2 linked regions of the Ovis aries genome follow. The protein of the gene in region 1 purifies or fractionates together with the protein of each later gene. This does not show direct contact. Links are inferred from orthologs where the notes say so. Each region holds a gene or a part of one and is shown on either strand. Other genes may lie near its edges.

Region 1 (4,951 bases):
ACATTTACAAAGGCTGAGAGACTCCAGGAATAGTCAATATAGTATACCTATAAGCAGATCTAACACTTCCTGTAATTGCTAAACATTGGAAACAACCTATGCTCCATCAGTAGGGGGATAATTTAATATTGAATATTATGTAATAGTTAAAAATAAAGTAGATGCTATAACATAGATGAACCTTAAAAACATTATGCTATGTGAAATAGCCAGACGTAAAATGACAAACATTGTATGATTCCTCTTACATGAGGTACCTAGAAAAAATTCATAAAGACTGGAAGTAGAAGAGTGGTTACCAGAGTGGATAGTGGTCATGGTTGCATAACAATATGAATATATTTAATGCCACTGAATTGTACACTTAAAATAGTAAATTTTATGTTCTATATTATTTAACCACAATAAAAAAATTTTTTTAAGTATGATAGATAGGTGTAAATGTACAGAGATGGAAAGATCGCCCAGATATATTGTTAAGTGAAAAATGAAAAAATAAATCACAGAACAATACGCAAACAAATAATAATATATATAAACATGCAGAAATGGGCTTCCCTGGTGGCTCGGTGGTAAAGAATCCACCTGCAATGCAGGAAACACAGGTCTGATCCCTGGCCGGGACTATCCCCTGGAGAAGGAAATGGCAACCTACTCCAGTATTCTTGCCTGGGAAATCCCACGGACAGAGGAGCCTGGCGGGCTACAGCCCTTGCGGTAGCAAAAGAGTGAGACACCTCTTAGCGACTAAACAACAACAACAAACATGTATAAATAGCTAACGCACATAAAAATACCCGAAAGGACACATACTGGACTATGACAGTAGTTTCCTTTGAAAATGAAAATGGGATTGAGGATGCGAGCAGGTGGGGAAGCAGGAAACCATAACATTTCCAGATTGTCTGAATAAGTTTATAACGAGTATATAATTATGTATTGCTTTTAAATTTTAAGAGCAAATGTCTTAAAAGTTTATGTGGTATTATAAATATTTTCATAAGTGAGTGTTACACAATATTTTACAAGTAATAAAAATTCTACTGTTCAGATTCAGGTGGCACTTTCACACTGTGAGAAAGTTGGAACATGTGTAAAGATGAAATTAGTTCAGTTCAGTCACTCAGTCGTGTCTGACTCTTTGCGACCCCACGGACTGCAGCACGCCAGGCTTTCCTGTCCATTAGCAGTTCCAGGAGCTTATTCAAACTCATGTCCATCAAGTCGGTGATGCCATCCAACCATCTCCTTCTGTCGTCCCCTTCTCCTCCCACCTTCAATCTTTCCCAGCATCAGGGTCTTTTCAAATGAGTCGGTTCTTCGCATCAGGTGGCCAAAGTATTGGAGTTTCACCTTCAACATCAGTCTTTCCAATGAATACCCAGGACTGATTTCCTTTAGGATGGACTGGTTGGATCTCCTTGCAGTCCAAGGGACTCTCAAGAGTCTTCTCCAAGACCACAGTTCAAAACCATCAATTCTTCGGCACTCAGATTTCTTTATAGTCCAACTCTCACATCCATACATGACTACTGGAAAATCCATAGCTTTGACTAGATGGACCTTTGTCGGCAAAGTTATGTCTCTGCTTTTTAATACGCTGTCTAGGTTGGTCATAATGTTTCTTCCAAGGAGTAAGCATCTTTTAATTTCATGGCTGCAGTCACCATCTGCAGTGATTTTGGAGCCCCCCCTACCCGCCCCACCTCAACGCCGCCCAAAAAAACACAAAGTCTGTCATTGTTTCCATTGTTTCCCCATCTATTTGCCATAGAGTGATGGGACCGGATGCCATGATCTTCGTTTTCTGAATGTTGAACTTTAAGCCAACTTTTTCACTCTCCTCTTTCACTTTCATCAAGAGGCTCTTTAGTTCTTCTTCGCTTTCTGCCATAAGGGTGGTGTCATCTGCAAATCTGAGGTTATTGATATTTCTCCCAGCAATCTTGATTCCAGCTTGTGCTTCTTCCAGCCCAGCGTTTCTCATGATGTACTCTGCATATAAGTTAAATAAGTAGGGTGACAATATACAGCCTTGACATACTCCTTTCCCGATTTGGAACCAGTCTGTTATTCTATGTCTAGGTTCTAACTGTTGCTTCTTGACCTGTATACAGATTTTTCAGGAGGCAGGTCAGGTGGTCTGGTATTCCCATCTCTTGAAGAATTTTCCACAGTTTATGGAAATAATCAACCTAAATTCTAACAGTCAATTATTGATTAATTTAAAAACAAGAGAATATGTACAGAATAACAAATCTATCATCACCATGAGAAATAGCTTTAAGAATTGAATTATCATTAGAAAGGGAAACATCTTTGCCCTATGTAATTACTACTAAATGACCTAAGTTTAATAAATGTTTCTTGCTGTTAACACTTACCCTATCCCGTCCAATTGGCAGTGGATGTGCTGTGTACATGTTTCTTTTGCCATCATAGCCAGGCTGCCGATCACCAAATATTTGCATCTTGAAGTGCCGCACCATTGTATCTACTACCTCCCTTAACAGTAATGGAGACAGTGGAGGTTAGCTCTGAGAAATGGTGGTGAACAGGAAACTGTCACTATAACTTAATTATCTAAATTCAGGTCAAAACTTCTTGGAGGACCTCCCTGGTAGTCCAGCAGTTAAGACTTCCTGGAGAAGTCTTGAGACTTGGGTTCCTGGAGAACCCAACCCAGAGGGTATGGGTTCGATTCCTAGTTGGGGAGCTAAGATGCCAGCAATACTGTAACAAAGTCAATAAAGAGTTTAAAAATGGCTCAGAGCAAAAAAAGAAAAAGATGACCCAGGCCAGTTCTGCCTGGAATATGAGGATCAAAATTCTTTGGAAAAAGCAAGAGTTAAAGTTACAGATTCAAGTAATTCAAAGAAAACAAAACAAAACAGCAAGTGAACAAAAGCAATCACAGGATGACAACAAAAAAGGAGGGAATAAAAGGAAAGAGAAGAAAATTTGCAGCACCTTCTCAAATTCTTGCTTTCGAAAATCCTCTCTTATGATAAGTAGAACTTTATAAGAGTAGCCTATCTTAGGTATCTAAATTTGGCATGTTCATAACTGAACGATTATAAGTTTGTTATCAAATATGCATCCTTATGCAAGTACACTGGTTTTGGAAAAGAGAGTGGGCAGACATCTGAGGATCAATAAATCTAAGATGCATCATAGTCAACAGACTAAGGCAACTCCTTTGACTAATGCTAGTAATTTATTATTCTGCCCCGTTGTTGTTCAGTCACTCAGTCATGTCCGACTCTTTGCGACCCCATGACTGCAGCACACTAGGCTTCCCTGTCCTTTTCTATCTCCTGCAGCTTGCTCAAACTCATGTCCATTGAGTCGGTGATGCCATCCAACCATCTCATCCTCTGTCGTCCCCTTCTCCTCCTGCCCTCAATCATTCCCAGCATCAGGGTCTTTTCCAATGAGCTGGCTCTTTGCATCAGGTGGCCAAAGTAGTGGAGCTTCAGCTTGAGTCCTTCTAATGTCGTATTATATGCCAAACTGCTTCCAAGTAGTATAAAGAAGGGAGCATCATAAAATCTCCTCCTCGCATAAAATATCCCCATTCCATTACTAGTGTAGTTCCTTTCTTTTTAGAATGAAAGCCTTTCTCTCAACCAAACATGAACAGTGTTTTGTCATATACACCAGATCACACTGTCTGCAGGATCTAAGATGAATGCAAATGTGGGGAAACTAGAATCTACTGTTTAAGATGGATAGAATTGAATCTGTGAGACTCTGGAATGCTAAAGTCAATGAAAAATCAGGTGCTATGTCTCACCAACATTGGTGAGCCCATGTGTGTGAACTGTATCTTAAAAGTCAAAATAAATCACAATAGCTAAGGCACTGGGGCTTCCCTAGTGGCTTAGCAGTAAAGAACCCACCTGCCAATGCAAGAGACACAGGTTAGATCACTGGGATGGAGAAGATGCCCTGCAGAAGGAAATGGCAACCCTCTCCAGTATTCTCGCCTGGGACATCCCACGGACAGAGGAGCCTGGTAGGCTACAGTCTGTGTGGTCACTAAGAATCTGACACAACTTAGCAACTAAACAACAACACACAAAAAGCTAAGGCATTAACACTATCACAAATGAAATCCGTGGGAAAGTCACATGTTTTCAAACTAAGTCATGCAATTGCAAAAAACTGATGGAGAAATAGAGTTTCATACATTCCCAGTTATAAAAAGTTGACTTAAGAATAGTATATTTTCAGACTAAGAAGGCAATTTCTTATCTTACATTCTTAAAATATAACCATAAAATTTTACAGTAAGAAAACATACTTTCACCTCTATTCTCACTTAATCTTCACAACAACCTGTGAGACAAGCAGCGCAATAATTTTTCTCAAAGAGAAAAAAATAAAAATTCAGAATGGCAAGTAAGTTGCCCCTGGTCACACAAGAATTAAATGGCAGAGTTGTGCGACCTTAGACAAGTTACTTACTCTCTCACATCTATTTCTTCATTTGTAGGGTTTTACAATCATAAAACCCACCACAAAAACCATCATATTAAGTGAATAAGTACACACAGACTATTTAGAACAGTGCTTGTCATGCAATAAGCCTACTCCTTGCAGGACATTTGGTCCTGTCCAAAACATCCATGAAACATTTGGTCCACACCAAGAGGGCCTTGATATTTAGCTCTGTCTGAAACAAAAATCTGGCATGGGCTGAATATGTTCACAGACGTTTTGAACAGGACCAAATTTCAGGGACCTTTTGACATGGACCAAATATGTGATGGATGTTTTGGACGAGACTATATGGCTGCGGGACTTCCCTGGTGGTCCAGTGGCTAAGACTTAGCGTTCCCAAAGCAGGGGGCCTGGGTTCAATCCGTGATCAGGGAACTAGATTCCACGTTCACAACTAAGAGTTTGCACAACTAAGAGTGAGCCTGCTGCAATGAAGATCTCACAT
Region 2 (4,951 bases), on another chromosome or scaffold:
ACACAGGAGGCGCAGAATGAGCGAAGTTAGTTACCCAGTCCCTCTGTCCTTAATTCTAATGCTCCCCTCAAGGCACTCCCTCTTCTCATGTCTGTTTCCCTCCTTCTCACTCTGGCTCCTTTAAGCCTTGGCACCTTTAGATGGCCACGTGTTTCAGCTTTAGAGTGATTTTCAGGCACAGAAGCGTTCCTTGACTGCCCCATGCCTACTACTGCGGCTGTACCCTGCTCCCCCTCTCTCGCTTGGGCTGTCAGCCCCCACACATGCCCGCGTGGCAGAACTCACCAGGCTATCCTGTCTCTGAACTTTTCTCACGCTACCCTTTCCATGTTTCTCCAGTCCTTTGGCAAACTCTTGAAGACTCGGTTCAGAGGAGCCCCTGTTTAAAGCCTTTGTAGACCTGCCACACCCATGGTTTGTTACTCCTTACTCACTTTTCCAGTGGAGTTACAATCTTATACTGTTTATCCTTTTATATGTATTAATTCTCAGAGCACCTGTCACAGCGAACTCAAGTTGTTTATACGTTTATTTTTGCTACCAAACAATGAGCTCCTTCAGGGCAAGTACTTTTCACCTGCACACTCAACTCTATGCACATATGTACACCCGAATCTATTTATTCCAGGTGGCTGAGCACAGCTCTTGGAAAGCAGAAAAGATTTCCTTAACATTTACTAAATGAATGGATAAGAAACTATCAGAAATCAAGTTTTGTTTTCTTTTAATGGTGCAAATCTTTAATCCCTTACATCAGACTGAACTGAATAAATGGTAAGTAGAACATTAAAACAGTAAAAAAGCAAAAAATTAAACGACCATCTAAAGAGGGAATACGTGAAAAAATAAATGTGTACTCTGACCTCTGTTTCTCACAATAGCAAAATAAAGGTCTTTTATTTTAACTAAGATTCAATAAATAAAGCACTTTTTAATAATGAGGAAAGGTTCTTAAGAGAATTTAGTTATGAAAATATATATTTAAAAATAAGGCCTAAGTTTAGTATTTGACAGGTTTTAGAAAGTCAGAATATAAGAATGTATCTTATACCATGTTTGCTGGAGTTTTGATCCAAAGATGTGTTCACAGAAATGCTGTCCACTGTAGTCCACTTCCTCAGTCTTGACTGTGGCTCTTTAATACTGTTCATATCCATATTTACATTCAAGTTTGAGTTCAAGCCTAAAAATAGATGAAAATTTTTAAAAACCACTTTATAAAAATATAGCGCATCCTCCTTCTGGTACCACAACTTTCATTTTCTAGAAAAACATATGCAGTTAATCTAGTGTTTTCAATCCTGTCTAATGTTCCTTAATAAATATCCTGCAAATGTGGCACAGCCAAATGATTATAGACAAAGGCAAGGCAGGCAGGACAGATACTCTGGGCTCCTGGCCAAGGTCACGCAGAAACGTCGTCAGAAGAAAAAGCCTAGCTAGGGTACCAGAGAAAGTAATACACAGAAATTCTAAAGAGCTAGCTAACACTCAATAATATAAAATTTTAAACCTAAAGAAATTCTGAAGAGCTAGGTAATACTCCATAATATACATTTTTAAACCACAAAACTGTCAGTACTATACTTGCATTAACTGTGGAAAACTAAATTCTCAGGCAGCCAAGTAATTGTTTAGCTACTAAAATATATCTCTTTAGAAATTTCCCAACAGTACCATGCATGAAGAATTACAAATGATCATGTTCATTTGCTAACTTTTGCTTATAAACAACAATTTTCAACTGCCTTACCCACCAAAGGATACTGTTATTTAAAAGTAAAACTGTCCTGCTGTAAGGGCAGGACTGTACCTAAGGGCAAGACGCTTATATCGCAAGGCGCAACTTGATTTGCTTGTCACACATATCGGCCTTAGATATTCTCTTGGAACAAAGACGGAAATTTCTATCTTAGTCACTGACCATTAAGCCAGTGTTTCTTGAAGTGTGATCCTGGGGACCATCATCTACAGAATATCTGAGATGCTCGTTAAAAATGAAAACTTTCCAATTCCCTGCTTCTACTGCAGAGGGCACAGGTTTAATCCCTAGTTTGGGAACTAAGATACCACAAGTCATGCAGTGAGTCAAAAAAAAAAAAAAAAGAATTGATGACAGATGTTTTCTTTAGCTGAAATATGCACAGGGTAAGAAATTAAAAGCATATAAATGGGCATACAATGAAAAGTAAGTCAAGATGAGTTCTTAAAAAGTATGTGAGGTTCTATTACTTCTCTGCTTAAATCTTTCCAGTGCTGAAATCCACACTAACATTCCATATGCCATCAAAAAAAAAAAAAAAGGAAATAAATTTTAAAAAAGAAAGAAAACTTTTCAGCAAGAGCCAGAATCTTTGTTTAATATATCCAAATGGTTCTTTAAAGTTTCAAAATAAATGGTTTTTAGATACTGGGTCTGGTGGAGAGTCCATGTGATACTAGGTCAAACTTAAAACTTTAATAATATAAATTCGCTAATATCACCCCTATTTGGAAAAAGTAATTAAATTTACTGCCCTCTGGACTCAGTAGGCGGAAAGCTTTTCAGGTGAAGGTTTAGACAGTAAATCTCTTAGACTCAGTGGGTCACACGGTCTGAGTGTCTTTATGCAACTCTGTTGTAGCACAAAAGCAGCTAAGAAATACATTAACAAAAGGGCATGGCTGTGTTCCAATAAAATTTTATTTACAAAATCAGGCAGCTAGACAAATTTGACTGATGGACTGTAGTTTGCCAGTGCCTGAGTTAGACAACCACACTGGTGCTTGCCTGAGTTAAAGCAGGCTTCCTAATCAGGGGAAAGTCTCTTGCTCTGAGGCTGGCCAGGATAGAAAGTGCTTATTTAGAAACTTATCTCCTCAGTGGCCCAATCTATATGCTCAGTATGTAATCACACAGTGAGAGTCACTTCCTTTCACTAGTGAGACCAAAACCTCTCAATGTACACCCGAGTATTCTTTCATCACCATACTGCTGTCTCTGGGAGGACATGGCCTCTATGGTATTCGCCAAACAGACAAAGGAATGTAAAAAGATTGCTGCTGCTGCTGCTAAATCACTTCAGTGGTGTCCGACTCTGTGCAACGCCATAGACGGCAGCCCACCAGGGATTGCCAGGTAAGAACACTGGAGTGGGTTGCCATTTCCTTCTCCAATGCATGAAAGTGAAAAGGGAAAGTGAAGTCGGTCAGTCATGTCTGACTCAGCGACCCCATGGACAGCAGCCTACCAGGCTCCTCCGTCCATGGGATTTTCCAGGCAAGAGTACTGGAGTGGGGTGCCATTAGTTCCATCGATGTCCTAGCTGAGTCCATAACGAAACCAGGGAGAGCTGAGTTATGTATCAGGTCCAGCCAACATGAAATGGGAGCAGGGATAACAGCAGGCCCAACCTCCGCCCACAGCCCAGAACATGCTAGTTAACTGAACATCTTCAACAAAGTTGGGCTAGTAACCAAAGAAGCTGGTTTACAAAAGAGAAAGAAATAGGAAAACAAACAGGGTGCGAATGATCAAAGGTCAAAAGATATTCAAAGGCACAAGAAGAAAAGGGACCTAAGGAAGAAGACAAATAAACCTGAAATTCCCAGAGGGAACGAAAAACCTGGAGACATAAGAGAGGGGTTGGGGGGAAGCAAATGTAAATGCAATAAAAGCAATTTCTTCTCTCATCCCTGTTACATTTATGCCAGTAATTTACTGTAAACGTTTACACAATAGTTAAAATCTCAGAGGTGACTGTTCCAAGTTATTTCTACAAAGCAGCAAAGCTCAAAATTTCTCGGGTGTGCTATAATAATTTCAGTCCTCCCCTCCCCTTCATACCCTATAATGAAGATATCTGAGTCTTAAAAAGAAATATACGTAATGTTAACTCATTTCAAACGAGCATCTGACTCTCTCTGACCCCATGGACTGCAGCCCACCAGGCTCCTCTGTCCGTGGGATTCCCCAGGCAAGAATACCGAAGTGGGCTGCCATTTCCTTCTCCAGGGGATCTTCCTGACCCAGGGATCGAACCACGTCTCTTGCATCTCCTGCACTGGCAGGTGGATTCTTACCACTGCACCAACGGGGCATGGGCTTCGTGGAATGTGTAATTTTCTTGAACAGAGAGAGACGTTCCTGAAGTAAGGAGAGAGGCTAATGCTAGAAGAAGTGTGGCCACTCAGAGATGGAGCAGCTAAAGAACCACGTGGCGCTCACGAGAGAAAAACTGGACAGGTCAGAAAGCAAGAGCTCAACTTGTGATCACCAAGCACCAGCCCAATGCTTTGGCCAAGGAGAAACCCACCTATAGGGAAGTTGCTGAAAGCATTTATTGGTGACGGCCCTTTTTGCAGCTCAGGTGTAGTGTGGGGCATGACATTTTCGAGGAAAGACTTCATGGCTGGCTGATGGAGTGACTGCTGCTGAGATGGCGGAGTTTGCTGCTTCACCAACAGGTTTGGATCAAGCTGACGAGACTGTTGCATCATCTGCTGCTGCACACTAAGAGGTCGACCCTTAAAAAGACAAAACGATTGGGGAAAATTGGGGAGATAAGTCTTTACGGATATCTTCGAGCCCCCCTTCATTTTTGAATTCAGTTCCTCCTCATCAGGAAGGTGAAGAATCACTGTCCACCAGTTAATAAGACTTCCAGGCAGACAGAAGACTTAATAGTGTTTTCCATTACATTTTAATAAAGGCATTTCAACTGCCTTGTCACAATGGAATTGATCTAAGTTGAGTGTGAGCAAAGCAAGGGGAAGGACCACATCTACCTGCTGGTCTTGCTGCTGCCGGTTCCCAGAAGGCACGCTTCTCTGACTCTGCGCCCTTTGCTGCTGCGCTAACAATCGCTGGAAGGAAAAGTGCAAACAGGTCGTCAGCATCACATCATCACAGACAAGCGTGCTGCAGAGTGACTGCGGCAGAGGGACCTACAAAGGCATGGCTCCATCGAGT

What was found. Proteins that work in one complex are often made in the same cells at the same time.
Region 2: the proteins of AGO4 (region 1) and TNRC6A purify together in Homo sapiens (co-immunoprecipitation; 4 studies listed by BioGRID and IntAct, with this or other methods). This does not show direct contact. The link is inferred for Ovis aries from reciprocal best matches to the Homo sapiens genes AGO4 and TNRC6A.

What each region holds. Positions count from the first base shown.
Region 1 is NC_056054.1:10,763,623-10,768,573, reverse strand, and holds part of AGO4 (protein argonaute-4), read right to left. Parts: intron 2,506-4,951; coding exon 2,385-2,505; intron 1-2,384.
Region 2 is NC_056077.1:22,998,969-23,003,919, reverse strand, and holds part of TNRC6A (trinucleotide repeat-containing gene 6A protein), read right to left. Parts: intron 4,846-4,951; coding exon 4,768-4,845; intron 4,507-4,767; coding exon 4,296-4,506; intron 2,110-4,295; exon of another isoform or gene 1,184-2,109; coding exon 1,052-1,183; exon of another isoform or gene 1-1,051.